Struthio camelus: one gene and its partners. The main gene of each other region encodes a partner of the protein of the gene in region 4 in a complex. Links are inferred from orthologs where the notes say so. Each region holds a gene or a part of one and is shown on either strand. Other genes may lie near its edges.

What was found.
Region 1: EIF3G (region 4) and EIF3D share a complex: the UniProt entries of both Homo sapiens proteins name them as parts of the eukaryotic translation initiation factor 3 (eIF-3) complex. The link is inferred for Struthio camelus from reciprocal best matches to the Homo sapiens genes EIF3G and EIF3D.
Region 2: EIF3G (region 4) and EIF3J share a complex: the UniProt entries of both Homo sapiens proteins name them as parts of the eukaryotic translation initiation factor 3 (eIF-3) complex. The link is inferred for Struthio camelus from reciprocal best matches to the Homo sapiens genes EIF3G and EIF3J.
Region 3: EIF3G (region 4) and EIF3F share a complex: the UniProt entries of both Homo sapiens proteins name them as parts of the eukaryotic translation initiation factor 3 (eIF-3) complex. The link is inferred for Struthio camelus from reciprocal best matches to the Homo sapiens genes EIF3G and EIF3F.

What each region holds. Positions count from the first base shown.
Region 1 is NC_090942.1:59,344,283-59,351,270, forward strand, and holds the start of EIF3D (eukaryotic translation initiation factor 3 subunit D), read left to right. Parts: upstream 1-3,983; 5' UTR 3,984-4,469; intron 4,470-4,864; 5' UTR 4,865-4,873; coding exon 4,874-4,996; intron 4,997-5,337; coding exon 5,338-5,383; intron 5,384-5,773; coding exon 5,774-5,910; intron 5,911-6,002; coding exon 6,003-6,088; intron 6,089-6,586; coding exon 6,587-6,659; intron 6,660-6,790; coding exon 6,791-6,906; intron 6,907-6,988. UniProt on the Homo sapiens protein: mRNA cap-binding component of the eukaryotic translation initiation factor 3 (eIF-3) complex, a complex required for several steps in the initiation of protein synthesis of a specialized repertoire of mRNAs.
Region 2 is NC_090953.1:1,192,471-1,200,477, reverse strand, and holds the start of EIF3J (eukaryotic translation initiation factor 3 subunit J), read right to left. Parts: upstream 3,006-8,007; 5' UTR 2,914-3,005; coding exon 2,889-2,913; intron 2,783-2,888; coding exon 2,682-2,782; intron 1-2,681. UniProt on the Homo sapiens protein: Component of the eukaryotic translation initiation factor 3 (eIF-3) complex, which is required for several steps in the initiation of protein synthesis.
Region 3 is NC_090948.1:24,470,783-24,477,736, reverse strand, and holds the start of EIF3F (eukaryotic translation initiation factor 3 subunit F), read right to left. Parts: upstream 3,018-6,954; 5' UTR 3,008-3,017; coding exon 2,722-3,007; intron 2,624-2,721; coding exon 2,553-2,623; intron 2,388-2,552; coding exon 2,308-2,387; intron 1,170-2,307; coding exon 1,032-1,169; intron 1-1,031. UniProt on the Homo sapiens protein: Component of the eukaryotic translation initiation factor 3 (eIF-3) complex, which is required for several steps in the initiation of protein synthesis.
Region 4 is NC_090972.1:4,971,352-4,978,488, reverse strand, and holds the start of EIF3G (eukaryotic translation initiation factor 3 subunit G), read right to left. Parts: upstream 3,019-7,137; 5' UTR 2,928-3,018; coding exon 2,908-2,927; intron 1,956-2,907; coding exon 1,906-1,955; intron 1,514-1,905; coding exon 1,421-1,513; intron 1,340-1,420; coding exon 1,251-1,339; intron 976-1,250; coding exon 916-975; intron 598-915; coding exon 493-597; intron 381-492; coding exon 191-380; intron 1-190. Other genes in the region: DNMT1 (DNA (cytosine-5)-methyltransferase 1), read right to left, coding at 3,383-3,420, 3,603-3,693, 3,801-3,917, 4,039-4,202, 4,282-4,477, 4,898-5,075, 5,193-5,359, 5,650-5,791 and 2 more. UniProt on the Homo sapiens protein: RNA-binding component of the eukaryotic translation initiation factor 3 (eIF-3) complex, which is required for several steps in the initiation of protein synthesis.

The DNA of each region.
Region 1 (6,988 bases), on a different chromosome or scaffold from region 4:
TTCTAAAAATTCTATCAACCACAACTCTGAAAAAGCTGGCGAGCAACTGTCACTCAAGGAAGGCAGGCTTAGAGTTCAGCATCCAGGCAGCTTAGGAGAGGGGTGAAGAAGGAGCAAAAGGAGGCCACACTCAGCAGTGAAGGCATTTGGCCTGAGAGAACAGCAGATTGAGAAGGCAGTTAAAAGCGCAACTGGAAAGATGAGTTGCACAGAGGAATGCACACCAGGGAGGTAGGAGGGCTTCTCAGCCTGTGAACAGAGGGAGAGAGCAATTGAAACACAGCTTTTTCTGGAGGACAGTGATCCTTCTGGGCAGCTGAGCAGCCAGATAGTTGCTGGCCTGTGACAGGAGCCACTTTAGATGCAGTGAAGGTTGTTTGCAATGAGAACGCAGGAGCCAGCATTAAGTCTTGCCACTTTAAACAAGATGACTTTGGAAGAACAGTCTGAAGAGGTTTGTAAACATTAGTCTTCTCATCTCGGGGAAGGTGCTAAGGCTGAAGATTATTTTCTCTGGTTTCTGGGTTTGTCAAGAAGTACAGGGCACTGGGAACTAAACATATGGTACAGGCATACAGTGTGCTTGTTGTCTAGTTTAAAAAAAGAAACAATTGGCTATCTTTGATGCATTTGTTGTAAGAATTACAAAAGGAACTACTGGAAATTAGTGTTTCAATATGAACCTTAGTCTTCAAGTCCCCTCTTTGAGCAGAAGTCCTGCGCAGCAAATGGGAATCACAGTCACACAAGTTGGAAAGTAACCCCTATCCTAAGGCTTTCCAAGGTGTCTCCAGGTAGGGAAGAGGGTAGCTTTTTTTCTAGAAAAGAACCCTAATAGGTTGGGAGCTTTGAGTTGCTTTCCTTCATTTAAACCTGGCAAATTTCTTATGATACTGCCTGAGCTGCACGTTCTTCTTGCTCAGCAGGATGAGTCTGCTGTTCAGCACACAGCCAGCTCACAGAACAACAGCTTTTGAACGAGCCCTGAATTGCTGCAGGAGATGGAGGGAAAGCACTAGATTATGGCTGTGAAGCCTTTGGACTGGAACAGCCATGATGCTAGGACAAAGCCCGCTTTTATGGATTTGCTAACACCAGTTGCAGATCCCCAAAATAGAGAAATAGGAGACAAGGCTGCAAAACCAGATGGGAGCAATTTATCCTGGCTGTTCTCATGAGCATCTTCCAGGGAAAACTGATTAGCCTGATTAACTGTAATTAATTGATTAACTAGAATTGTAGATTAATGATCAAATGATTGCAAGAAAGCGTATTCTGAGCAACTCAGGGCTTCACTGGAAAACTCATGTGCCTGTCATAAAAGCCCTCAGCTAGATAGCAAATTATTGGCAGAAATGGTGCTTGGGGTTGGCAAGACAGGAACAGAGGGGTACATGCAACACTGGAGCCTCGACCACAGCATTGGACAGGAGATCAGAGGCGGCAGTGTATGGTGCTAAATAAAAAGTGAGGTAAAACTTACTCACTCCCCCCTCGTAAATCTGACCTAAATCTGGCAGAGAACATCACCCTCTTCAAGTCTGCAATAAGTTCTTAGAACTGAAATATTTTCCCCTGGATAAGAAACTGGTACTTTACACTGGAACATAAAGGAGTATTTATTCTGGACAGGACACTCCCTACGCATGCTCTGTCCTCTGAACCATGCCTCGTACCCAACTCTGTCCCCAGAGAAGGTATTTTGCTGGGCTAGGCCCAAACTGCAAATAACCTGTCAGCTTGGAAGACGAAAGCAGCATTACAGTCTCTTTTAAGAACCTCACACCGAGTTGGGAGCGAAAGGGAAGCTGAGGAAAGGAAGAGGAAGGGATTTAAATTATCAGTCCATTTGACATTGCTTCTCTTTATTCATTCCCTAATCCAGCTTTCTCTTTGGGATTTCCTGTTCCTTTTATCGCTGTCTCCCAAGCAGGACATGAACACAACAATGTTCAGATTGAATCTAATGTATCAAGCTGGATAAAGTGTATTTATCTGTTCCACATAGATAGATAATGAGGAAGTTAGTTATAGACTGGAATATAGCCAGAGCAGTCCCAAAGGTGCGTAAGGCCACCTCCCACAGCCAGAGCCCTCTGAGCCTACTCAGCCCGCCACCCGAGTTGGGGAGGGAAGGGAATGGGAGTTGGTGGGGCACTGCAGGAGTCACATTCTGGAGCTAGAATCCACTGCGCCACCACTGGAGAGCAGTGAGGCAATTCCAACACTCATTACATTTGTGCCCAGGAGGGCCATTTAGGTGGGACAGTTACAAATTGTATTTTATAAACTATATTTCTATAAGCGGATTTTTCACTAGCTAGGAAAATTGCTCTAATAATCCTACTCCTGATTAATGGGGAGGTATCCTGGCAAAGTAGAGACTGCTGCAGCTTCTGTGCTTTCTCAGGAAGTAACTAAAGGTGGTGAATTTGTAAATAATGGAGAAAATGCACACCCTTCTGAAGAGTATTGATCTAGACTTTTCTTGGGTTAAGGATACCCAGGAAAATTCTCCAGCCTATGAGCTGAAGATACCTGTAAGCTGGATCCTGGTCTTTTAGTGGTAGAGAAAATTTCAGTGATTTGAGTATCCAAGATTTACCAATGAGTTTTTGCTCTCACCATCTGAGAGGGGAAATAGATCCCAGTTATAGACAGGGATCTGAGGCATGTGTTATATTAAACGACTTATTCAGGGTCTCCTGAAGAGGCTATGGAGTTGAATGCGAAGTTGTAGCCCTACATTTCCTCTCTAGCAGGTCAAGGAAAGCCATCAGAGGCAATGCAAAACATCTAATATCATATTGTGAAGGCAACAGGGACAACTGCAATTAGCACTTTTCACACATCCTTACCCCTCAAAGTAAAGTATTTCGTAAAAATACTCTAAAACCCAAAGTCAGTTGTATGACCATACAACTGCAGTCAATACTACCTACTTCTCTACAAAAACATTGCAAAGTTTGCAATACATTTTTATTTCAAGAGGCTAACAAAAAATGCTTTGTCTGACAAAATTAAGAGGCACAGAATTAGATCGTGCTTCCTATCCTGATACACTGCCTTATTGATATACTTCTTGTCAGGAGCCCTGTAAGTCTGTTCTTTATCACAGACACAAATCTATCTGTGAAAATAGGAATTTACCTGTCAGACTTTACAGTAAGTCTTTTTCATGTCTGCAGAACAACCTGGCACAACTGGACAGGAGGGCACTGAAGCATAGCAGTAGAAATGTTTGTCAGTTACTAAGTTGAGGATCAGTATCCTTTCCTGTACATAATTTTAGGCAGAGTAATTTGTGCTCAACCTCCGTCAAAGAAAAGAAGTCTTCTTGATATGCAACAGTCACCTCTGATCATGAAGTCCAAGTATCCCTATGAGAGCAACAGATAAAAAAACCAAGGAACTCTGTGAAACAACCTGGGCCATCCCACTGCGGCCAGGCAGAGCCGTTATATCAAAATCATTCCCAACAGATGTTGGCTTAACAAAGGCTTAAATACCCCTATTCACGTTCAACAACGTTTCTAGAAGTTTAATCAACTTTACAGCGAGAAAAGATTTTTCTAACATCTCACTCAGATCTCCATTGTTTCAGTTTGAACTCATGTTTCTCCTCTGCTTTCAGGAGGCAGGGAAAACAATCTGTTTTCTTCCTCTTTGTGACAGCCAAGTACAACCCGAAAGGCTTTGTCTTGCCTCATCTCGGCCTTTTCCACTTAAAGCTGAACACAAGCTCTTCTGCGGATAAGGCAAGTTTATTATCGCGAATACCATTTTTTTTCCCCGTTAACCCCACGTACTGTTGGGCAGGTAATTAGGAGGGTGCGGGACTTCAGTAATCGCTACCGTTGTGACAAGAGGCACCATCAGAACAGGGAACAGGCTAACTCAGCCCCCACGCAAGCCACGGGTGACGCGGTTTGACGTTATCTGGGACCCCCCCCTCCCCTCCGCGCCCCCCCATTCATCCCAGCAGAGCCGGCACCCCCAGGGCAGCTCGCGGGGCTGCTGACAGAGGGCTCTGAGGCACTCCGCCAACTAAATCCTGCGTCATAGGCAGCAAGAAGAGGAAGAAAACTCCGGCAGCCACCGCAACCGCCGCTGCCGCGGCAACCGGCACCGCCGCGGCCTCAAGGCACACTGGGATATTGGAGGGAGCGCGGAACGTCATGGAGGCGCCCGCGGGCGCGCTGCAGCTTTTCTAGCCAGGCCGTCCGGCAGCTCTATGGTTTCGGCGTCATCCAGACGACATCTGAGCGGGAGGTGGGGCAGAGGTGCCCGTGCTTTACGGCAGCCCCGGGGCGGGAAGAGCGGAGCTCCTTGGCGGCTTTATTTATTTATTTATTTTACGACGGCGGCGCGCGGCGATGACGCGCTAAGGCCGGGCCGGAGCCGTGCGGGGCCCTTTCCTCGCCGCCGCCGCCGCTGTCGTCGTATCCGCCGCCATCGGGGCCGCGCAGGTGAGGAGCCGCCGGTGGCGCGGCCGGGGCCCGCCCGCTGCCGCACTGGGGCTGGGCCCGCGGGTATCGGGGCTCCCCCTCCACCCGCGGCCCCGCCTCTGCCCCCGGTTCCGGTGGGGCCGAGTTTCCCCATCCCCCGCCCTGCCCCCAGGAGCGTCGCCTCGCTTGCGGCCCCGCGCGGGGCCGGGAGGTCAAATAGGCCCGTCCTTCTCTTGAGGCACCGAGGCCTGGGCCGCGGTGTCCGCCGTGTCCGTAGCGCAGCCCTGGCCGCCCTGTCCCGCAGCAGCGGGTGTCGCGGTGCTTTGGCAGGGTTTGCCACTTGGCAACTGAGCTTTTCTGGTTGCTTTCCCCCCCCCCCCCTTTTTTTATTTTTACTTTTTTTTCCTCTCCTAAAGGTTTAAAAAATGGCCAAGTTTGTGACACCAGTGATCCAGGACAACCCCTCGGGCTGGGGCCCTTGTGCTGTGCCTGAGCAGTTCAGGGATATGCCATATCAGCCCTTCAGTAAAGGAGACCGCTTGGGAAAGGTATTAAAATCATGTCCTAATGTGGAGCTAGGGAAGGTGGCAGCCTTTGTGTTAACCTGCTGAATGAGCCCTATGTTCCTTCTTACATATCACCTGTGCATAGTAGTGGTGCTTTATTTTCAGAGCTTCTTTACTAATTACTATGACTGTTTTTGAAACATCCTTTGTAGTCCATCCTAATTAGCATAGTTGTGAACTATTAGCAAGATTGGCAAGCAGAGGTGGGAACTGAAAGGAGTGATTCTGGAGCATAGAGCCATATTTGCTTTTGCTGCTTGAAGTCCTGCATATGTAAAGTCAGAGTTGCTACTTGCTTATTTTGACTGTTTGTTTGTCCTTAGGTTGCAGACTGGACAGGAGCCACTTATCAGGATAAGAGATATACGAGTACGTGCTGTTTGGTGACTGCTCCTGTCATTTGTTTCATACAAGCTTACTTCAAATGTCATTCCTGCTTTCATGTTTCATACCGGCTCTAGTGGTTGCCTACGTTCCTCAGCAAGAGCTGCTTATATTCAGAAGTGTGCCTCACCCTTGGGAGAGCTCCATGGGGCTCTCCCCGTCCTTACGGTTTGCTTGTGGTTTTGTTCTACCTCGTGACTGGTGCTTTTCTTGGAGGTTTAGAGGCAGAGCAAACTGCAGTGGTATAAGGTAGACAGTCCCAGCTAATGCATCAGGCTTGAGGGAAGGCGTTTGGAGGGGATTGTTCCCCCCTCCTACTTCGCCAGTCTTCTTTTCCTAGAAGCTTGATAGCAAGATGCTTTGTTTTATTTTCAGACAAGTACTCTTCACAGTTTGGCGGAGGAAGTCAATATGCATATTTTCATGAGGAGGATGAGACTAGCTTCCAGTTGGTGGATACAGCACGGACGCAGAAAACCGCGTACCAAAGGAATCGTATGCGATTTGCACAGGTAACACCTGTTTTCCAAAACTCTGAGAGCTTGAGTGGTAGCAAATTATTTTATAACTAAAATGTCTTTCTCCCCCCCGCCCCTTTTCACAGAGGAACCTTCGGAGAGACAAGGACCGTCGGAACATGCTGCAGTTCAGTATGCAGACACTGCCAAAGAGTGCCAAGCAGAAGGAGAGGTGAGACCCTCATACGGGTATACTGTATTTGTATGAATTGTGTCAACAAAGTATTGATAAATTGGGTAAGATACTGTAGCAGAAACCACCAGAGCTAACAGTCACCAAAGAACAACTTGAGGATTTTTTTCAAGTCCATTGTTTTGCCCAAGTCACTTGTAGTTATAAGCATGGGTTTCAAACAGCTACTTAAGAATTTAGGAGAATTTCTAAATCCAGTTCAGAAAATAACCGTGGTAATTTAAAATGAAGTATACTCCTTTTGGAAGCTGCGTTGTAGTCTTCAAAGGTGAAAATATTTAAACAGCAGCTCGGAATAAAGAGCAGAGCTTGTAACGCTTCACACATCTTGATCAACAGACAGCTCAGTGAATGTTTCAGTGGCTTGGTGCCGAAAGGTATTGTTCCTTTGGTGCTAAATTGGAAGTGTAGGAGTGGTTGTGGCATCTAGGAATCAAGAACTTGTCGTGATGGCTTTTCACATGTTTGCCGTTGTAGAGATCGTTTGCGTCTACAGAAGAAGTTTCAGAAACAGTTTGGAGTGAGGCAGAAATGGGACCAAAAATCACAGGTAAACTAGCTTTCTGACCCCTGTGATTGTCTAGTTCTTTCTCTGCTCTCATGAGGCAATTTCTCTCTCACAAATCCTGATGTGTTGTGTCTCTCTCTCTCTCTTTATCTGTCTACTGTCTGGCCGCACAGCAGAAGCCTCGTGACTCCTCTGTTGAAGTTCGCAGTGACTGGGAGGTGAAAGAAGAGATGGACTTCCCTCGACTGATGAAGATGCGCTATCTGGAGGTGTCAGAGCCGCAGGACATGTGAGTTTCTAAAACAGCTGAGTGCTCGCTTCCTGAACTGACTGGGTTTTGGAAAGTAGCAGGGCAAGGGCCTCGTGGCCCA
Region 2 (8,007 bases), on a different chromosome or scaffold from region 4:
AGGTCGTCTTAATTCCAAAATACATCCACTAACACCACTTAAAACTTTGAAGCATTTCAAAGATACTAATTTATACATACTTAACTAAAATAAGGTTACTGAAAAACATCTTCCATTTCATGCAAATAAACCCTTGATGAAAGCAACTATTACAATTTCATATGCTCCACCACATGTACCTTTAAATGTACAAAGATGCGTGTTCCAGAAAAACAGAGAACATTACTTGAAGATTACAGGTTCTCCACTATTTAGATTCCCAGTCAATATTTCGCGTTCTCCTTCAAAGAGGAAGGACTGTACCATGTCAAAGGCTGTTGCCTATACGATAAGAAGCACGTTTCCTAGTTTTGGCTTTGTTAAGTATAGGATTGCCCAAGAGTAAATAGATGAAAATTCCTTGGCAGCAGGCCTGTCTTCTGGGAAACTTTTGTCACTTACGAAGATGCTAATTTTAATCTCATGAAAGGCAAAGTTTCCTAAACTTAAAACAGTTACTATCTTTATTAAAATACCTCCATAACAAACTATAGAATCTGAATATATTAAAAAAAAAGAAAAAAGAAAAAAAAATCTGAAGTGTGAAATACCAACTTGAAGGCAAACTACTGGCCAGAAAATACTTTGGGCTTGTATTTTAGACCACGTCATTTTTCTTATGCAGGTACTTTCCTGAGGCTGACAGTTACAAACAAGGTATCTACAATCTAAGCAATTATCTCACAGGCTCAGTTGCATGATCTTTAGCATCTATACAGTAAGTGCAACTCAAAGTAAAATAAAACAGCTTTATTTGCTCTAGGGGCCCTTGTCTCTAAATGCAGCTCCAGTACTAAAGCCTTAATCCCTTAATAGTAACTTTCTTACTGGTAGGAATGTTTTGGTAGGAAAACTTTGTTCCTTTATCAGAGTAGCCATACAAAGCTGGCGTCTTTAAAAGAATAACAGCTTATAGTCCAGTTCCATTAAGACATTATATTGTAGATGAAAAGTTTCTCACTTTCAAAGGAATCAGGAAAAGCAAACTTTGCTAAGTCAATTGGAATCAAAAAATAAATAAATACAGACACGTATGTATGTGTGTGTACACAGATATGTAAAAATAAGTATACATGTATAGTCACATTCTAACCACAAGCTTTACAAACTACCGTAGCCACTGTATACAGAGATACCTTTACTCATTTTGCCTGGTGTAATGTGACTGACACCTATAAATGTAATAACACCCCCACACCCTATAGTTAAGGTGAAAAATAGGCAGCCCATAACTTACAAAAATATTTGGGTTTTTTTTGTTGTTGTTGTTAAGACAAGATGAACTACTTTTTTCATACTGATTGAAAAAAAGAATACCCACCCTAAGCTCCAAGGACAACCGTGTTGGCGTTTTTCAGAGGTTCTGGTAACACAAGCAGCAGCCTAAATAACAAAACCAACAAGTCCTCGCCTAATAAGCAGCAATACTCTATTTCAGAAAGCCTCATACTTCTGACCATAATATAGTACTCATCACCTAGTGAGCTACAGGATTGTCTATTGCAGCACCTCAGCACCTTGATTTGAAACAGAGAAGTGTTTTTCAGTTTACCCATTTTGATTCCTAATAGTCAAACACATTCCTTTTATGTCCCCTGGCATCATTTTGCTTACAGTCTATACGAACGCTGAGCAAGTTAAGATTTCTGTGGCATCCACCACTCAGTCAATCTGGCTTGCTAAGGGACAGCTGGAGCTAAATAAAAGACAACAAGCTTTTAAAGAGGGTCTGCTTTCATAAATATTACAGATGAACATTCACACATTTTAATACAAACTCCATGCAGACATTACACTTTGAAACACAGTAAGAAGAGAGCCTTAAGTAAACAAAACATCTTTTAGTGATCTGGACACTACCAAACCTGAAAGAGCATAGTAGACTGCTTTATTTTCCAACTGTGGTGGGGCTTGGGGGGGGGGGGGGGGGTGGGAAGAAGTAGGAAGAGGAGTGAGAGCAGGAAGGGACAGGCTGCTGCAGCCCAGAAGTTTCTGGTCAATAGAAGTAGTACTAAGACAGCGCTGCTTCCATTAAATCCAACTTTTAACGCCTCACCTAGTCTATGCTACTCAAAACCAAGGATCTGAAAGAGCATTTGAGAAGGTCTACAGAAAGCAAGCAGAAACCAGCTGGCTGCAGAAAAGCACCAAGCTGCTGGCAAGCAGCTCAGAAGCAGCAGGTGGATTCCCTAGAAAACTGGAGAGTAAAAGTGTCTTTCTCTTTTGTCACCTGGAAGATCCAATATAAAGCAAGTGAACCTTAAGGAAAAATAACCAGTCTAAGCGAGGATTAAACAAGCACAAAGCAGAAACGCAGTCTTTTCCATGTGGCATCTCGACTCGTCATCTCCGCAGCAGGCGGCAGAGCCCGGGGCCTCAGAAACCCATTTCGTGGCTCTCACCCCCCAACCAACCCCCCCCCCGGCTCCTGAGGAAAACCCGCCTCAAGCCCCGGCAGCGCCGCAGGAGCCGCCGCCGCCCTCGTCCACCGGCCCGGCCCGGCCGGCAGCACGGGGCCCGCCACACGCGGCACCATATGGCAGCGGCGCGGCCGCGGCGGCCCCGGTCTCGGCCCCCGCCCGCCCCAGTGGGCCCAGCCCGGCCCCGGCGGGAACAGGCCCCGGCCCGGGCCCCGGCCGCACCTTCACGTCGTCCTCCTCATCCTCGCCGGCCCAGCGGTCCCCGGCCACCCCCGGCACCAGCCGCTTCGCCACCGGCTCCACCACCTCGAAGCTGTCCGCGTCTGTGGAGGAGAGGAGAGCGGGTGAGCGGCGGGGCAAGGCGGTAGCCAGGGCTCCCGCGGGGCGCCGGGCACGGCCGCCGCCACCACCACCACCACCACCACCTACCCCACGAATCCGTCTCCGCCGCCATCTTGCCCCGCGGAGCAGCGCCCACAGCGAAGCACGGTGAGTCAGCCGCGCCGAGAGCGGCCAGCGCCGCGCGCGGGGCACGCCGGGATGGCGGCGGACTGACAGGGCCCCGCCCCGCCGGCCAGCCCGCGCTCCCGCCTCCCCCACAAGCACCGCCCCCTAGGGGCGGGGCGGGGCGGGGCGGGGCGGGCTGAGGCGAGGCCGCCATGTCGGTGCCGGGCTGAGGCGGGGTGGGGCCGCCATGTCGGTGCCGGGCTGAGGGGGCCGAGGGGGTGCGGGGGCCGCCATGTCGGTGCCGGGCTGAGGGGGCCGAGGGGGTGCGGGGGCCGCCATGTCGGTGCCGGGCTGAGGGGGCCGCGGGGCCGCCATGTCGGTGCCGGGCTGAGGGGGCTGCGAGTGTTTTGTAGCGTTGTCATAAAACACCTGCAGAGCGAAAGGAGCCTGCCCCGTACGGTAGAGATTTGCCAGGAGCAGTGCGCGCCCTTAAACGCTGCCCTCAGGAAGAAGGGGTTTCCCGGTTGCTGTGTTTGAACACGTCCCCACTAGGAAAAGAAGGCTGGGATTGCTGTTCCAGGTGGGAGGCACAGAAAACGTTACTGTCAAACGTACTGCTGTCGTGGTGTATTGCCCTGTAGAGGACAGGGAATAAGCTGTTTAAGAACTTTCCTATGGATATAACCGGGCCCACTTTTGGTGCGTCCTACTCCTTTTAATACCCTGGTAAGGTTAAAATAGTACCGTTTTGTACCTACGGAACCCGTCCGTACGAGGATGATCCTGCGGAGAGCCTGGGACTCGGCGCAGGCCGCCCCGTGCCCGAAAACTATCTTTTTCCCTGGTAAAGATGAGGCTTGTGACTGAGCCTGAGATAATTCCTCACGCCCTCTGCAGATGGCAGAGCTAAAACATAAATATGCTAACGACATAAAAAATACAGCAGAAAACCGTAAGCTTCTAGGAACTAGCCTCATGCACGGTAAGCTTTGCCACCTGACGTTGCAGCGATTACCTCTCGTTTACTACAGCTTTGTAGTAAAAAATATCCTCCGATACTGTCGATAGGCCCCTTTATGAAGGGAAAAAAAATTATGTCCCAATCAGGCATATTTTTATTAGGTTTGTATGGATTGATTCTTAAAAATAAGAAAGAAACACTAGAAATAGAATATATAGGACTGGGCGGGGGGGGGGGAATGCTACAAAAAACCTAATTCAGTTTCAATTCAGTCAGCTTGTGCTGTTGTGGATTATATAGTTTATCTCATGCTCGCAAACTATAGTTCAATAATTTAATTTAAATAGCTGCAGATAATTAATACATTATTCGTAGGCTTTTGATAATAACATTTCCTTCAGCAATGGAATCTCTGTTTTCTGATAGGCTTTCTCAGTACAAAAATTTCCATGACTCAAACGTTATGCCCCTTATCAGACAATAAATGTATATAATGCTGTGATCCCAAGACTAAGAAGAGACCTTTACATGCTATATTTCAGGACACAGTTTTTTGGAGCATCATATATTGTCCGGTATTGACACACCAATACAGAGTATTCTGGTATCAGTACTAGGGAACTTTTTAAGGTTTCTCGGGAAGCAGTCCAACAGAAATTACATAACTTCCTGCACATCTTAGATATTTCTCTTTTAGGATGCCTTGCAATGATTATAAATGAAAGCTCCACTGGATCTGAACAAATATGGCTAATAACTGCATATCTGTTTCCTACCCTTAACGGAGCCAAGAACAGTTATTCACAGGATTTGAATGACTTTCTATTCTTCCTATTCCTAACTCATAAATACAGACAGAACAGGCAGAACAAAAACAACTTAAGTCACAGGCTCTAAGTAGGCAATCCTATTCAGAAATAATTAAGTTTTACTAATGAGAAATGCTCTAGATTCATCTAGCACGGCTTACGTCCACCTGAATACTACTCAGCCCTCAGCTATTTTCAGTTCAGGGAATGAGAGGGAGTTCTTTAAAACAGAATGGGAGAGAAGAAAAGAGAAAATACTTTCAAAAGTTGTTTCAGACTGGTGCCATAAACTATTTCCTAATCCCCTTAATAATAGTATAAATTTATAGTAAAGGTAGGTTATGATTTAGTCAGTTCCCAGCTTTCAGGTTCGTGATCAAACCACAAATAAACATGGGCGTAGGATTGCAGTAAAGCTGTAGAGATAGTCTAGCAACCAGATTATGCTTTCACAATTTATCTGCATAATTCCTTCTCTTTAAGGTGGGGTTTTTAGCTCAGTTCCCAGGGGGGATCGTGGCCTTGCAATCACTATAGTTGTCCTTTACTTAAAAACTTTGAACTCACCAGCTGGCTTTAACCAAATTGAGCAGAGGTCTAAAGGTCCCTTACAGGAATTCAGTGTCTACAAATATAAAATAGGTATCAGATGGAAGACAGACTCAGTGGAAGGAAGGGCTGTAGCCTGAGCTGTCAGTCAACCACAGGACACAAATCCACAGATATCCAAGCTGCCTTACTTCTGCTGTACAGGGGCCTTTAGTTCCGCTGCAGTTAGTCCAGTGAAGTCACGCTGCACACGCAGTTGTAGCCGTGATTTTCCCACACCAAATAGCAAATGAATTCTGCATTTTTTAATTTCTAGAGCCAGCTGTCATTGGAAAGTCATTCTCTTGCTATCCCACTGGCTGGAGGATTCATTTTAAACAGTAGATCCATAGAAGTGAAAACTCTCTCTGCGCTTCTTCCAGTCCCCCCTGGATGCCGCAAAAACTGCTACATCCCACAGATTCCAGGATAAGTATTTTAAGTGCTTGAACTTTCTAGAGAAGTGGGTTTACACCTTCACCTTGCTGCAGATTATAAAGGGACTGTTTGCCTCTTACGGTTTCAAGCTGTCACTCTTCTCCAACTTCTTCTCCAACTTCTTCCCCACTGCTACCAGGGAATATTTTATTTTGAAATGCTCTGAGGCCTGTGTTGTCCCTTTAGATTGTTCTGCACGCAAGACAGAGAGAGCGACTGTCACGGCTCCAGAGCTCTGATTTAGCCAGAGGTAAGCAGACGTCTGTTCAAGACCTGACGTTTGATGCTTCATGTTGTTTGGATGTTCCTGATGGAATAGGTTAGAAGTGGAGAACTGTTTTGTCTGAGGATTAAACATCAAACTCGCTGATATGCCTGGGAGCTACAACCAGATCCAGCCTAGCCTCTACCAGTTACACTGGTCTGTTTCCTTCTACCTTGTCAAATGCATAAATGTTGGAAACATTGATTAACTTCATCCAGTTTACTTCATCACCGCCTCCCAACTCTGTGATGTCATAGGGACATGAGAATCTGATCAGATTTCTCACGGGGAGTTTACTGAACCAATTCTGATGCTTCTTGGAGAAGAGTTTTTACAGCAACAACTTTCTGATGCTGAAGAAGAGGAGACATTGGTGACCCATTCAAAATCTAAGGAAATTAAAGCTCTAAATTTTCAAATTTAGAATGGTGACACTAGCCAACGTTACTATTGCATTGTTCTCTGGGAAACAGTCTGTGACTGTCGTCATGCTGCATATTTTCAGATAGTAGTAATGCGAAGCCACTGATAAAATTCCTGTGATGAGGGATCTTTACTAACTCACGGTCCCTCTTTTTCTCCATAGCTTCAAAGGGTCACCAGCAATTCAGGCATATATTTGGGTGTCTTTCCTTATCTCCAGCCCACTGGTTGATAAGAGGATATACATGGTGCACGCTTTTTAGTTGCTAATAAAGACCAACTTTTGGTTTCAGAATGAGCGTTCTAAAAGTAGATCCTGCTGCCATTATAGGCCATAGCATACATCTGAGCAACTCTTGGCACTAGCAGTGACATTGCTTCTGACATTGTTTTAACTTGATTTTATAATTGAGCTCCAGGCCAACCATTAATGTAAATCAGTACTTGTCTCTCTCAAGCTGCACGAACTCTTGCATTTTATGACATGCCATGCCAAGCACCTCCTTCATTATTTCCTGTGTGAGCTATACTCACAAACAGCGTACCCTTCTGCTAGGTACTTTTTTCAGTTAAGCCAAACCACCTGTTTCAGGGGGTGATCTGCTTTCTGTTTTAGTTTTCAGATGCCGAAGATCTGCAAGGAAACGCATCTTTTCTTCTCTGACCCTTTTTCTCGCAACTGACTTTAGAAGCGTATTTCCAAAAGTCAGCAGTTCCACTTCAAGATGCTAGAGCTCAAAGGCTGTTAGAAGATGTTCCAATCTCATATATGATGTCTGCATGTCCAAGTAATGATGGATCATACTGAACTGCCATACTACCATGTCCTCTATCATCAGGAAGGGGGTGTAAAATTCTTCCTCCTCTATCAGGAAGCAATTCCATACTGGGACTGACACATAGAAAACAGTACTCATCTCTCAGCAGTTCACCAATGCAGACCTTGAATTTATTATCAGATGAGCTGTGCAGGTTCTTGTCTCCAAATCCTGAGTGGGAGATCTGCATTGGTATCCTCAAAGTAGTCTGTGAACGGGAGCCACTCAAGTAGATTTGCGTTGTCCACATCAGGAATAAACGTCACTTCTTGTCTCAAATATTTTAGCGCCTGAGGTCTTTCTCTTAGGTTCATTGCGGTCGCATGGTCAGACCGTCGGGTGTGCGCCTCTCTTCCAGTCCCATTGCTTCCACAAATCTTGATTGAAATAAGACAAAAAAGCACCAAAATTATTCTGATTGTTTCAGCCTCGTCTAAGCAGTTTCCTGAAACCTCTACCATTGTTCCCAAACCTACTGATGCAAATGTCGTATCACTCGATTCAACCCAGCCTCAAAACGTTCCATCTCAAAAGTGTGCATGCTAGAGGATCTCTGTTCAAAGTACTCCTGCTCTTTTCCAGTAACGTAAGTCTTTATAAATAGCTCTCCAAGTACGTCAATTTAATGGACCAGGTTCTCTTCCGTATTAACCGTTGAACTATTTTGGAATAACTGCTGCAGTTAAGAGAATCTGATTTTTCCACTAGGCTGCTACTTCAGCACACCACTCTCCTGTGGACTGGACCCCTTCTCTGCCTTGCCTCACGCTTCTTAAAATTTCTGAAGGGACATCATCTC
Region 3 (6,954 bases), on a different chromosome or scaffold from region 4:
ACACTGAAGCGTGAACATGAGTAGATTACTCATTCTCACCAAAATCAGCAGTATTAAGAGCCTGGATAACCGAGGACAGGAAATGCACACAAGCATATTATTAACTGCTCATTTTCATCCAAGAATATTCCTAACTAGCCTGATGTTTGTCTGCGTGAGCACATGAAGAGCTAAGTACTGTCTAGTTGCTTCTTGCTTGTAGAGCAAGAATAGTATCCTGAAATACTCCACGGTCTTTGAGAAATCCCTTAAGGAACAAAAATAAAGATGACAAAAACTCAAGTACAAAGCACTCTTAACACCTTTGTTATTTCTATGATCTGTGATTTCTATCTGAAGTTCATTTATGCTTTCAGTATGTAAGATGTCATGGAACAGCTTCTTTTTTGGAGATGCATAGTCAGGAAGCAGTATGATTTTGGCTTTAAAAAAAAAAAAAAAAAAAAAAAGGCCAGGGCTCTATTCTGGAAAGAAGAGAGGTGTTCAGTCAGTACCAGGAAGAACAGTGAGGTGGAATAGTTGCATTTCTCAGTATTTAACCTCCATTACCAATGGATAAAAATGCAGAGGATGAGGGCCAGAAAGACTGATCAAGAAGATGCTGATTATGTTTTAATCACACTGATTCTCTGACGTGTATAACTAAACTGCCCAGCAATAAAGTTCAGTGAATAAAGTCTACCATTCAGACAATAGGAGGGAAGTTAGTGACATTAATGCTAGCTATATAAATCCGGTAAAATGTCACAAAGACGTTCAAAACTCTCTTAAGATGAGTTAAGTGAGAATTCCCTTCTCCTCCTCCAATGAGGAACCAGCTTATGAAAGGTTAGGTCTTTCAGCTTGCGTACGATGGTCAAGACATTCCAGTGGGAAGAAAAACACGATCCCTGGCTCACAACTCTGTTTTAACTACTGCACGTGATTGTCTCAGTGGGACACTGTAGCCCATTGTACTTCTTGTTATCCTGATGGTGTCCCTCTTAGTAATCCAAATATACCCTTCCCAAAAATGCAACTTTCCAAAATACCTGACATAAGCTTTAATGCTCATGCGTCCATTCTGGAGACTTGTGTCCACAGTGAGGTGGATTGGATTGTGCGCTTCCCGGCTGTAATACTCGTGGATCAGGACCGAGTGCTCGGTGATGTCATGACCTGTTGCATACCTTCAAAAACACAAACATAAGGAGCCGTTCTTCCAACACTCAGGTGCCCAATGTTTGCTATTGTGGATATTTAACAAGTTTGTATCCTAAAACACTGATTTCCAAACACTGAGCTGCAGAGGCATACCAAATAGTGTTTCAGCCACATAATTTGTAGCTTTATGACTAGCGGTTCCAGAACTGTAGGAATCACAGTCTGAGCACAAGCATACCTGCAACATGCATAGGACCAACATTTTTGCACCAGCCACACAGAGTCAGTACAGCTGCTGTCAAACACCCAAGATTCAAGCATCTCTCACTACGCTCTGGACCAACTCCTTATTTCAATGTAAATCAAAGCATGCTAATTGAATCCAGCAATAAGCCACCAAGTAGATCTTCCACAGATGAAACATCTCAGTGCTGGAGACAGGACTTGTTAATCTAGATCCTTTATCTGGTCTGCAATTAGCGTCCTGTATGCATAGGAAAACCGTCATTACATCTGTGGTTCACCGTGCCATTAAAAGATTGTTGAGAAAACTGAGCATTGTGCTTGCAGAATTTTGCTCCGTAGAAACAGAGCTATGCTATTTTCCAGGATCAGAGAAGACATGGACAGACTAGTGAAACTATCTGCTCCATCCACACACCCAGAGGCCTAGACACGGATTCTGTCCCTGTAACACCCTCCTGATTCTAGCCTGGCCTCCCAAACACAAGTATTTTCCACCTTTTCTCAGCAGAGAACTTTTCCATGCTCAAACTGAAATCACAGACTCATCCTGAGGTCTTAGGTACTTGAAACTATTTTTGTGTTCTCTCTTCTTTCTAACCAGTTATCTTCCATGGCACAGGTTGTATTACAGGTCACTAAATAGTTCTTCTAACAAATCCGTGCAAGCATTCTGTAACTCATCACTCTTCTGCGATACCTTTTCTAGATCTAAACCAAAGTAAACACTGCGAGTCTCTCGAACTGTTTCCTCCTATTAAGAATTACAGCAGTTTTACAACTGCCTGTGTGTAACGGAGCTGCAGAACGTAACTGCAGGCATCAGGGCTCCTGTCTTAACCTGTGACAAGAACTATGCATTTCAAGCAGCTTAACAGACCTACACAACTGCTTGCATGTTCCTGCCCAAGGAGAACTTACCAGCCCAAGATGATCTCGCTAGGAGACACCTTCTTGTGCAGCTCATACATGTTTTTGGCAAATTCCATATCGACTGCCACCTAAAAAACGTGACAGCACAGCCAGCTCTAACAAGAATACTTGAATTTTAGCACGGGACAGCACAGGGAAAACCCCCAACGCTTGCCATCAGCGGGAGCTCAGGGAAGAGCAAGGGCACCCCGCCGAAGTCACCGGGCCCGGCCCGCCCCGCCGCCGCCGGGTACCTCATCCTCGGACTCGTTGTGAGGGACGGAGAAGCAGTTGGTGACCTCCACCGAGTGCTTGTCCACGGTCCCTGCGGGGAGGGCAGCGCGGTTAGCGCGGCGCCGCGGCCGGCCGGCGTGGGGGCTGCCGGCCGCCAGGGCCGCGCCGGGGCCGGCGAGCGGCTCTTACCCAGCAGCGTCCCGATGACCCGCGCCGCGCCCTCGTTGCGCCGCTCGAAGCTGTCCACGATGGAGGCGAGCACGACCGGGTGCAGCCGCACCACGCGGCCGCCGGGGAAGGGGCCCGAGAGCGCGGCGGACAAGGGCGCGGCTGGCGGCGGCGCCGGGGCGGCGGGCGGCGCCGGGGCGGCGGGCGGGGGGGCGCCGGCGGGCGGGGGGGCGGCCGCCGCCGTGGGGCTCGGTGCCGGGGCGGCCGCGGGAGGAACCGAAGCTGCGGTGGGAGCTGTCGCCGCCATCTTGCGAAGAGAGAGGCGGAGAGGGGGCTGCGCCAGTAATAATTGGCTGGCCTGAACGCCTGTCATGCAGTTCTGCCTCCCATTGGGCAATGAGGCGCCCAGTAAGTCCCTCCTCACATCTGTTAACCAATCTGAGGAAAGCTATGGGGGAAGGCACCCTCTGATTGGAGGGAGAACGCACCGTCTTTAGCGCGCTCTCTGGGGTCCGGCAACTTTTTCGATTGGACCCTCCGTGCCTGTTAGCTCCTTCATTGGCTGGTGAGGCTCCCACTGCTGTCTGTCAGTGTACGGAGGCCGGTCTATTGGTTGTGACCCTTCTGTTCCCGCCCCCCCGGGTATAAGGCAGGGGCGGGATTTATGCTTTTGTGTGTAGCATTGAGCCCTTGGCTGGTTGTGTGCAGTCCTCTGGCTTTCGTGAGTGTCGCCTGGCAGTCCCTCGGGGCTGGAGACCCCTGCTGTGGGCAGGCAGTAGGCCGGGGTCCTGCTGAGTGCTTCTGAGCTCCTCAGGGTCTTCTGGGCCCTATTGCCTCTGTGGCCCTAGTGCTGTTGCTGGGCCTTTGTTGGCCAGGCACCCTGGCACCTGTCACTGTTGATGGCAGATGGCCACCAAGGTGTTTGGGCAGTGGCAGCGCAAGTGGTGGGCCCAGCCCATGGTGGCGGAGCCGTTACTGCTGCCTTGACCTGCTCGCAGCGAGGGTGGAACCTGCCAGCGCCTCTCCTGCTATGTCCTGCGGTGCAGAGGCTGTGCCACAGCTATATGAGATGTGGTAAGCACGGCAGCCTGTAGGCCTCTAGCGTGGGAACAGTGTGGCACCAAGCTGCGGAGGTTACCTGGTAATGCTGTATGCCAGCACTATGCAGTGGTGGCACTAATGGCCCCATGAGGTGCTGCAGTGCTGTTACCCCTGTTTTTAGATCTTCCTTCCCAGTGAGGAACAAAGTGGTTATCAGGTATCACGTAGAGAGTGAAACTGAATGTTGATCACCTGTATCCAAGGCTTAATGGTTATCTAACAAATTGATTTTGTGGATTTGTTTACCTATTTACTTGTACTCCAAGTGTCCGCTCACAGGAAACAAAGCAACGTGTGTTGGGCCGGTATGGTTATAAAATAAACTATGTATGCTTTTGATGACTGGTAAGGATACTGGGTTCTTGTTGCACTTCCTTTTCCCTCTCTTTGCCTTCTGCCTGCAGCTGTTATCTCAAAAGTTGCAGCGACATGACAACAGATCTCTGTCTTAGTCTAAAACTTTTTCCTCACAAATATTAATTTGACAGACTTCAAGGGAGAATTTCAAGTGTCTTTGAAGTATTTGAGGAGTCTTGCATCCTGATAAAATGTTTAGACCAGTGAAGCTATGCCAGGCAGAAATTAAGTTTTCTGGCACCACTTTGTCAATCAGATGACTTCTTGAATGATTGAGAATCTTTCAAGGTAGTTGTTTCCCAAGTATAACAGAGAAAAGTGCTGTGCTGGTTATTGCATGGAGTGCAATTGTCTTTGCTCTTACATGGATCCACTTTGGGCTCCTGAGACACAATTTCCTAGATTTGGGTTACTAATTAAAGCCCTTTTAACATCAGAAAGCATTCTGTCAGGACTGGGGGCTTTTGGAGATTTGTCTACCTCATCAGCTGAGGGGAGATTATCAACAGATGACGAGCAGTTCCTACCCAGTCGTTGAAGACCATAAAAGGAGCAGCTCAACAAAAAGAATTTGTTCTAGCAGTTTGTGTCTCTTTTCCATAAGCAGGGTGCACCTATCACAGCTACAAAGGCGATTAATCCACTGATGTTGGGAACATGCACAGCTTTCATCTTTCTGTGAAAGCACCTGGTGGTCTGTATGCCAGTGAAGACTGACTCTCCTGTTCTTAGGCTTCTGCTATGCAGCCTTCGTTTCCTGTAGGTGTGCCTGGGTTCTAAGGTTGTGTGTAAGACTTAAAATGTTCCTGGAGCTTTGATGTGTCGTTGGGAAGTCAAACGTGTGAGGTATGCTTATTAGAGAGCAGCTGTTTGATCTCACTTCTATTTGCATCAAACTGGCTTTGATGCTTAATTTGACATAGTCACCTGCTGATTCAGGTGAAGCAAGCAAGGCTCTTGAAGACCTGACCATTATAGCTTTATGCTGCAGCCTTTAAAATTGGTCAGCTTAGTTTGGAGCTGCACTTGTGCTTTGAAATTAGCAACTGGGACAGCCTTCCTTAGTATGTTGATGTCAAGCTGCTGAACAGCATGCCAGAGTGTGTGTATAGTGAGTAAGGATGGACAGTCTAGATCTCCAAAGTCAAAGATCAGCGGTCAGCTCACACAAAGCTCAGTTTATACAGAGATTGTTTAATGGTAAGAAAATCAGTCATGTGATGCTGCTAGGACCTAAGGTGTCCAAGCTGCAAAACTGTTCTTGCTTGTTGTGTGACTTGTGGAAAATGTAGGCCTTCAGAACTAATACTGTTTCGCAAATAATCAGTTTATTATTTGAGATGGGAATTTACCAGTGACACATCAGGACTGCCTGTCACTGAAAACTTAGTGTCCGTCTCTGAAGTGATAAAGATGTTTAGCTATTACAGGACAATCTATCTGCCTAGAGGATAAATGAAAGAAACGTTCTCACATGAACACAGATCAGTGTGGTACCACAGGGCCTTCTGATTTTACAGTTTTTGTTGCGTAGTTTCCCTCCATCTTGTTTTGACAGTAAAATGACTTTTTAGCTCTGCTTTTGTAGGATTTCTCTTTACAGTTCTTATGTGGTCGACTCATTACTGCATATGCTATTGTGTCACCTGCACAGATGGTGTATAATCCCTTTATCAGTAGCTATCCCCTCATCTTGCTTATATTACTAGAAGCAGCATCACTTCTAGCACTGAGGAAAACTGTTTCTGTAGTACAGGCAAAATAAAATATTTACAACTTATTTCATTCACTGTTTCAGGAAGAGGTTTCATCTGGTTAGTTTCATGGGATTAGGTCTGATGGTTTTTATTCCATTATTACAACAAAATTTTCTATTGTGTTCTGTCCAAGTTAAAGTCTTTCAGTTATTTCTGCCAAGAGGAAATCAGTCAGTGAGCTTACTGTTTATTTTACATAATCCTACTTATTATCTTATACTTACATAGAAGAAAATGAATATCAAGTCTCACTTTCTGAATCACTTCAGATTTCTTGCTTGGAAGTCTGTGTCTCCAGCCTTCATTGTGCTCTCAGACTCTCTTTGCTTTCTTTTATGCCAAGTTAACAATGCTTTTGTGATTTACTGGTTATCTGTGTTTTTCAGGGGCCATATATTCTACCATCAGTCCAGGGCTTTTATATGGTATAGTCATAGGCAGTGATTTATCTCCATGTTAGCAAGAGGCATTCAAGCACTTCGCCTTTTGCATAATGTTTAAGGGGCTACTCTAATTATAAAAGAAATAATACTGACATGTGGGACTTATAGAGGTAGCATGAGAGTGAAAATCCAAATACTACCTAAAAATAATGAGGTGTAGTATTAATTGCCTGCTGCACCAATGTAAAAATATAACTTTCATCACCATGCTAACTTTAGAGAAGATATCAGGTGTTCAAAAACAGCACTTTGAGGATTGCCGTGTGCTTGTTAGTCACTATGTAGAAACACAGAAAACCAAGCTAAAATAAAGGTAACTTCACAAAAGAAGTTGCAGTGATAGTAAGTGAAAGTAGCGAAGATAAATGTACACAAGCTGTCATAGGCAGGCCAACAGATACTTTCACAGTCAGAGCTTTACACTCATTGAAGAGGAAGAAATATATACCAACTGAGTGAATGATAGCTGTGGGGTGGCAGGGGACCCAAACCCTAGCAAACACCAAATGCTACAATATAATTGTCTCAGACGAGTGTCGAAAATATTGAACTGTAAAAATAAGTCCCTAAATGATTGATTTAGCTGTTCAGAATTC
Region 4 (7,137 bases):
CCAGCCCCTAACTCCACCTCCAGAAACCAAATCCCCAGGGAAAGGATGAATCCAGCTGTTGCAAAGAGACACAACACCAGGCCGCGGCCACTGCAAGCCAAGCCAGGCCGTCACGGGGCACGCGAGGGGAGCGCTGCCCCCGCTGCGGGCAGGTGCGTCGCCCCACGCCCGGGGTAAAGGGATGCCGTACCTCCCGGCAGCTTCTCCTTCTCGCCTGTGGACAGCCCCAGCTGCTCGGCCAACTCCTTCTGCATCGGCCCCAGGGTGTCCTTGTAGGGGCAGCGCGTGGTCCAGTGGTCACCCTTGCAGATACGGCACGACACGATCTTCTGTCCCTTCAGCTTGTTCATGGGATCCTCCTCCTCCTGGCAGTTGAGGTCCTGGGCACAGGAAAGACTCCTCAGCACCACAGAGCCAAAACGCCCCTGCCGGCGCCCACACCGGCTGCCGGGGCTCCCGACGTCCCGCCGGCTCCCACCCCTCCGGACTCACCTCCTTGCTGGTGATGAAGGTCATAAAGACGTCGTCGCTCACCGTGGTGGTGGCCACGTTAGGACCGGGGGCATCGAACTCGGAGTTGCCAAACTTCTTCCAGTTCTGGGGAGAACCAGAGGCTGCTCGGGAAGGGGGAAGGCTGGGAGGGACCCACTCGCGTGACGCACTCCCGAGTCCTGTACAACACTTGGGACCAACATAGCCCCACTAGTGCTGAACGCAGAGCGCGAACCACAAACAGGAAGAAAAGCAACCCTAACGATGGATACTTTGGGGAGACGGGGAAAATATCGAGCAGAAGGAACACGCAGAGCGGGAGCGCTGACAGAAGAAGCAGATTTTCTTTGAGTACAGTTTCTATTTTTCTGTTTCTCCCTACAAGCGGCGCTGTCCCCCCTGCCCCGCACGGCGCGCGCTCACCTTCCTGCGGGCCACCGCCTTGGAGGCCTTCCTGGTTTCAATCCGGAAGGTGCGGATGATCTGCAGGGGCATAACAGAGTCTATCAGCGCAGGAGGAGGGACGGCCTGCGTGTGGCAGACACCCTTCAGGCCCCAACTAGAGCAGCCTGAGGCAGAGCTGAAGCCGGGCGCGATGAGGCGCCCTTAGCGCGGCCCGCCGGGACCAGCCCGGCCCTTGGGAACAGCCCGCACCCAGCTGCGCTGGCAGGACCAGGGAGCGGTGCCCTCTCGGGAGGGAGGGATGGGGGCTCTGCCGCGGGGATGGCCCGAACCGCTGCCTGGGCCGCACTGCTCACCTTCACCTTGCGCCCGTCCTCCTCCTCTCGATACTCCGTGATGGTCTTGATGTTGCCGTTGATGAGCTCCTTGGGGGAGGGTAGCGGACCTGCGCGGAGGGGAGACGGTGAGCTGGAGGCCGACGCGAGCAGCTACCGCGGCAGCCCCACGCGCCGCAGGCGGCTCTCACCTCCTTTCAGCAGCTCGGCCTCGGCGCTCAGGCTGCCGCCCAGCACCCCGCTCAGCGGGATGTCCTTCAGCAGCTCGCTGGTGATGCATTTGTCTGCGGGAAGAGAAGCAGGACTCACCGCCGGCACGGCCCTGGGGACCGGCGCTCCCCGCTCCCGCCCGTGCGGCCATCGAGAGCCTTCCCCACTACCGGGGTGCGGGGACGTCGGTCGCTCCAAACCCCCCAGCTTCCTCGAATCCTTGAAATGGGTAAGAGGGACTTGGAGGGGGGACTGGTCCCTGCCCTAGGCCAGGCATAACCTTCTCTTACGGATCAGCCGCAAGGAAGAGACGTTTGGGCCTGTTTTGAACCCTGGACGTAAGGCGAGTATCTTGGGAGAAAAACGCGCTCCCGTTGGCTCTGGGAGCAGGACGAATCTCCCGCGACGCGCGGGGAAGAGCGGGAGCGACGGGGCGAAGAGCAGGAATCCTGCCGGCGCCGCTTACCGTCGTCGCCGCCCTCCTCTTCCACCTGGTCGGCCCAGCTGGGCTTGGAGCTGCGGAAACGCCAGAGCCTGAGACCGGCCCCGCCGGCGGCGACAGGTTCCCCCGCCACCGGCCACCGCGGCTCCAGCCGGCCCTGACATCCCCCCCAACAGCCCCAACACCCCTCCCGGCCCTGACACCTCCCGGCCCCACCGCATCCCCCCTCACGGCCCTGCTGTGTCTCGGGGCCCCACTGCGTCGCCCCCCGGCCCCGACACCCCCCGCCCTCGGCCCCACTGTGTCCCGGGGCCCTGCCGCATCCCGCCCCGGCCCCCAACATCCACCCACCCCAGCCCCGACACCTCCCGGGGCCCCGATATCCCCCCTCCCGGCCCTACCGTGTCCCGGGGTCCCGCCGCACCCCCCGGCCTCAACATCCCCCCAACCCCGACACCTCCCGGGGCCCCGACATCCCCCCTCCCGGCCCTACCATGTCCTGGGGTCCCGCCGCGCCCCCCCCGGCCCCAACCCCCCCCACCCCCGACACCTCCCGGGGCCCCGACACCTCCCGGCCCTACCATGTCCTGGGGTCCCGCCGCACCCCCCCCGGCCCCAACCCCCCCCCACCCCCGACACCTCCCGGGGCCCCGACACCCCTCGGCCCTACCATGTCCTGGGGTCCCGCCGCGCCCCCCCCGGCCTCAACCCCCCCCCACCCCCGACACCTCCCGGGGCCCCGACATCCCCCCTCCCGGCCCTACCATGTCCTGGGGTCCCGCCGCGCCCCCCCCGGCCTCAACACCCCCCCCGGCCCCAACCCCCCCCACCCCCGACACCTCCCGGGGCCCCGACACCCCCCGGCCCTACCATGTCCTGGGGTCCCGCCGCGCCCCCCACGGCCTCAACACCCCCCCCGGCCCCAACCCCCCCCACCCCCGACACCTCCCGGGGCCCCGACACCCCCCGGCCCCCGCCCGCGGCCTGCCCCGGGCCCCCCGCCGCCGCCGCCTCCCGCCCCCTCACTCGTAGTCGCCCGTCGGCATCGCGCCGCCGCCGCCCTCGCGCGCCCCGACCGGAAGGACGCGCCGGAACTTCCGGCTCCGCCGCTGCCGGAAGCGCGGCCCGGCCGGAAGGGGCGGGGCGGAGCGCGCGCGAGGGCTGCCGGGAGCGGTTGCCCGGGGCAACCAACCCCCCCCCCGCCGCCGCCGCGGGGCAGAGCGGTTATAATTTATAGGAGAGATTTATTTGAAGAAATATTACAACATATAAAAACTACATAAAGTATTAATTCCCACTTGTACAAAGCGGCCGATTATTTTCAATACAATGCGTCGTAAAAACAGCCCCGGCCGCGGCGGGGGCGGGGGGGGGCAGGGGCCCGGGCCGGGCCTGCAACCAAAACCCAAAAATAAAAACAAAACGGGAGGGGAGGGGAGGGGGGGGATAAATCAGTGCATGTTTGGGAGTCCCGGAGCGGCGGCGGCGGGAGCGGCGGGCGCTAGTCGGCGATCTCCATCTTCTCCGGGGCGCTGGCGTCTGCGGGAAGAGCGGCGGCTGAAGGAGGCGCCGGCGGCACCCCCCCCCCGGGCTGCCCCGGACCCCAACGAGGGTCCCCTCGGGCCTGGGGGGGAGCCCACCCCAGCCGGCGCGACGGGCAACCCCGGGAAAGGGCTGCTCCCAAGGCGGGAAGCGGCTCCTCGCCCCCCGCCCTGACCTACCCACGATGTCTTCCTTCAGCTTGGCCGACACGCACGACTTGATCTCCAGCCCGATGGCTTTGGCTAGAGGAGGGGGCACCGCGTTCCCGACCTGCCGGCGGAGGGAGGGTGAGGCTCGCGCCGGCCCGGCGGCTGCCAGGCCGGGGAAGGCTGCGCTGGGCCGGGGCCGGGGCCGGCTCGGCGGCCGCCGCCGCTCACCTGTCTGTGCTTGTCGAGGATGTTTCCGAAGAGCCGGTAGGTATCGGGGAAGCCCTGGGACCTGGCGCACTCCCGCACGCTCACCACCCGGTGCTGCTCCGGGTGCAGCACCCGGCCCTGCGACAGCGACGGGAGGGGATGGGGCTGAGCCGGGACCGGCGCCGAGCCCCCCCCCTCCACTCCGGGGGCGGCGTTTTGGGGACGGGCCGGGAGCGGCGAAGCCCCCGGAGCCACCCACCTGCTTGCCCATGGGCTCCGGGTTGGTGACGGTGGTGCTGAAGAAGCCGTCCCACTCCAGGCGCCCGTAGAGCCCGGCCCAGTGGTTGTGCCGGTTCCCGGTGTGGGGCAGGCACCAGGGGATGAGCGTGTTGAACTGCCGGTCCGCGGGGTCGCAGGGCTTGCCTGGGCGGGGGGGAAGGCGGCGAGAGGTGAGGCGGGTGCGCGCCGGTGGGGCGCCGCGCTCGGCCGGGCCGTCGCCTACCTTCGGCGCACGAGCACACCCCTCGCAGCGCCCCGGAGCTGCTGCGGCCGTTCTTCTTCTCGTGGTGCGTGTACCGCAGCTTCCGCGTGGTCGTGCCGTCCGACAGCCGCACCTCGATGTTGGGCAGGTCTCGCCAGTCGGAGCCCGGCGCCAGGGGGATGTGCCTCATGCGCGCTGCGACCAGGGCGCTCATGTCCTGCGGACGCCAAACCCCGCGTTACCTCCCGCCACCGGCCAACGGCGACCTGCCCCGGGACCTGGCCGCGGGGCGAAGGCAGCGGAAGGACGCAGGTCAGGCCTAGGAGCGGCGCTGCAGCCCGGTTCCTACCTCTGCCAAAGGCCGCGGGAAGGGGACGGGTCCCTGCACCGCTGCAGGCCTCGTCTTCCCTCCCGGGGCGGGAAGGGGGCTGCGGGTACGCGCACAGGGAGCGCTTTGGGACGGTCTCTCTCGCTCCCCGTTTGCATGGTTTTGCCCACGCGACGTCCCTGACCTAATCTCAGACCGGGGTCTAGGCACGGCCTCCCCTCGCCCCGATCGCCGTCCCCGTCTGGTGGATGCCAGCGCAGCATGGAAGCGGCGTCACCCGGCCCCCCGCCGAGACCCCCGCGGCCGCACCTTGCAGATGTGGTCCCTGAGGATGGGCTGATACTGAGAGCCCCGGATCTGCCTCTGGAACCAGGACTGCGGCTCCCCGTTGTAGGAGATCTCCAGGGCGGAGGCTCCGTTCCTGACCTCCGGCAGGTCGGACATGGTGTCCCGCACCGTGATGGTTCGGAAGGGGCCGGAGTACGTCCTGGGAGGGAGGAGCGAGCGATGAGAGCGGCCCCCGCCCGAGACCCACAACGCTCGTCCTGCCCTCGTGCGCGCCCCGGCCCCGCTGCGGGGGAACCGTGCCATTTTGAAGGCTCACCGGGTGATATTGCTAACGAACTTCTTGTCATCCACCACGACGCTCAGCTGGCAGGCGCGGGGCGCAAACACATGCAGCGGCTCGGGGAACATGGGGAGCTTCTCACCAGGAGCCGCGGCAAGAACGATGGCTCGCCGTCGCGTCTGGGCCACGCCGTACTGACCAGCCTGGGAACGAAAGGACGCTCCTGAGGAGACCGCAACGAGGCCTGGAGCGTCCCCATCCAACCAGGGCCCTGAAAGAGCTGGGAGCGTCCCCTCCGCCAGACCGAGGGAAGACAAAACTCAAAGAGCTTGAGCAGTAACACAGCAAATTGCTCCTTTGGAGGTTATAGTTCATTGCAGAGCCAGGCTAGAGGAGAGGGGTTTTAGCCCTAGTTCACTATCTCAGGACCTGCCGCTAAAGGAAGTGTCCTGCGTGCGCGGTCTCTGCCGCACTCCAGCCGCAACCGCCCTACCTGCAGGACCCCGAAGGTGCACTGATAACCCATGCGGACGAGGCACCGCAAGGTGAGCTTCAGAACCATGGAGCGCTTGAAGGACACAAAGTTCCTCACGTTCTCCAGCAAAAAGAACCGCGGCCTGTAGTAGTCACAGTAGCTGCGAGGAGGGAAAGGGACATGTGAGCAGAGAGACAGAGCAACATTCGACGCCTGGGTCCTTCGGGACAAGCCACTGACCTGCAAGCTCCTCACTGCGGCCTGCTCACCTGAGAAAGGAGACCACCAGGGAGTTCTTGAACTTGGAGTAGGTGCGGGAGTTGAAGCGGTTCATGCCGCTGAAGCCCTGGCACGGGGGACCACCACACAGCATCTCCACATCCCCCTTCTGCGGCAGCTTCTGCCCCAGCGAGTTGGTCTTCTCACCAGACATGACCAGCTTCAGCAGGACGTTGCAGTCCTCCGTGAACACGGTGGTGCCGGGATTGTTCAGCCGGAAGGCCTGGGCGGCTGGCTCCCACATCTCGATGGCCCAGAGCGTTTCCGACACACCTGGGGAGGGAGGCAAAGCAGAGGGTCTTGCGCTTGTGCAGCGAGGATTTCCTCACATCGCCTGATCCAGCTCATGCTCCATCCCAAACACGGCGCCCAACAAAAGGGATCGAGACACCAAGCAGGAACTCGGCATGAGAGGCCAGCACTGATTCCCGCCTCCCCGTGCGCTCTGGTCATTTCCCAGCTGCTGTCTCAGCTCTGCAGCTCACCTGCCTGGTGGAAGCCCTCAGACAGCCCTCCACAGCCAGAGAACACGTCTAAGGTACGCAGCTTGGGCAGCTTCAGGTCAGCTGGCTCCTGCTCGCTCTGCTCACAGGTCACAGACGATTTCCCTTTGCCCTTGCCTGCAAACGGAGCCCAGATCACATCAAAAGGCAAAGTCATTTCCTCCTCTTAGTGCTTACAAGGCAAATTCTTCTCCCCTCCTCCACAGCAGTTAAAACACCAGCTTAAAGCACCTTTCTATCCATAATTTTTTCACTGCCGTTGCCAGAATACGCCCTTGCATTTGGAAAGGAAGCTTCTCATCTTTCCCAGTGCAATTCCTTTCCAACCAACAGCTCTTAGCCACCGACCGTTTCTGCGGGTAAGGCTGGAGCTGTGGTAACTCACAGGGCAGCTCCCTGTATCGCGAACGTTCCCCTGTGGTAGCAAGGCACGAAGCCCTGCACTGCGGAGCGACCAGCCCCGGCAACGGGCAGCCGGTAGGTAAAAGACTTCAAGATCTCTGAGGGCACCACAGAACAGGGACAGCGCAAAGCACAAGGGACCCTACGTTGTCACTGCAAGATTTATTTCGGAGAAATTAGGTCTCACATGGCTGTCTCTTAGAAATAGAGCTGCAGACCACATAGCTGCATCCTGTGAGAACATCAGAGCAGGAGAAGTGCACAGAAACATCTGGTTAGCGGGCAGTCTTATCTCTACTCTACAGCAAGTAACGGCAGACGC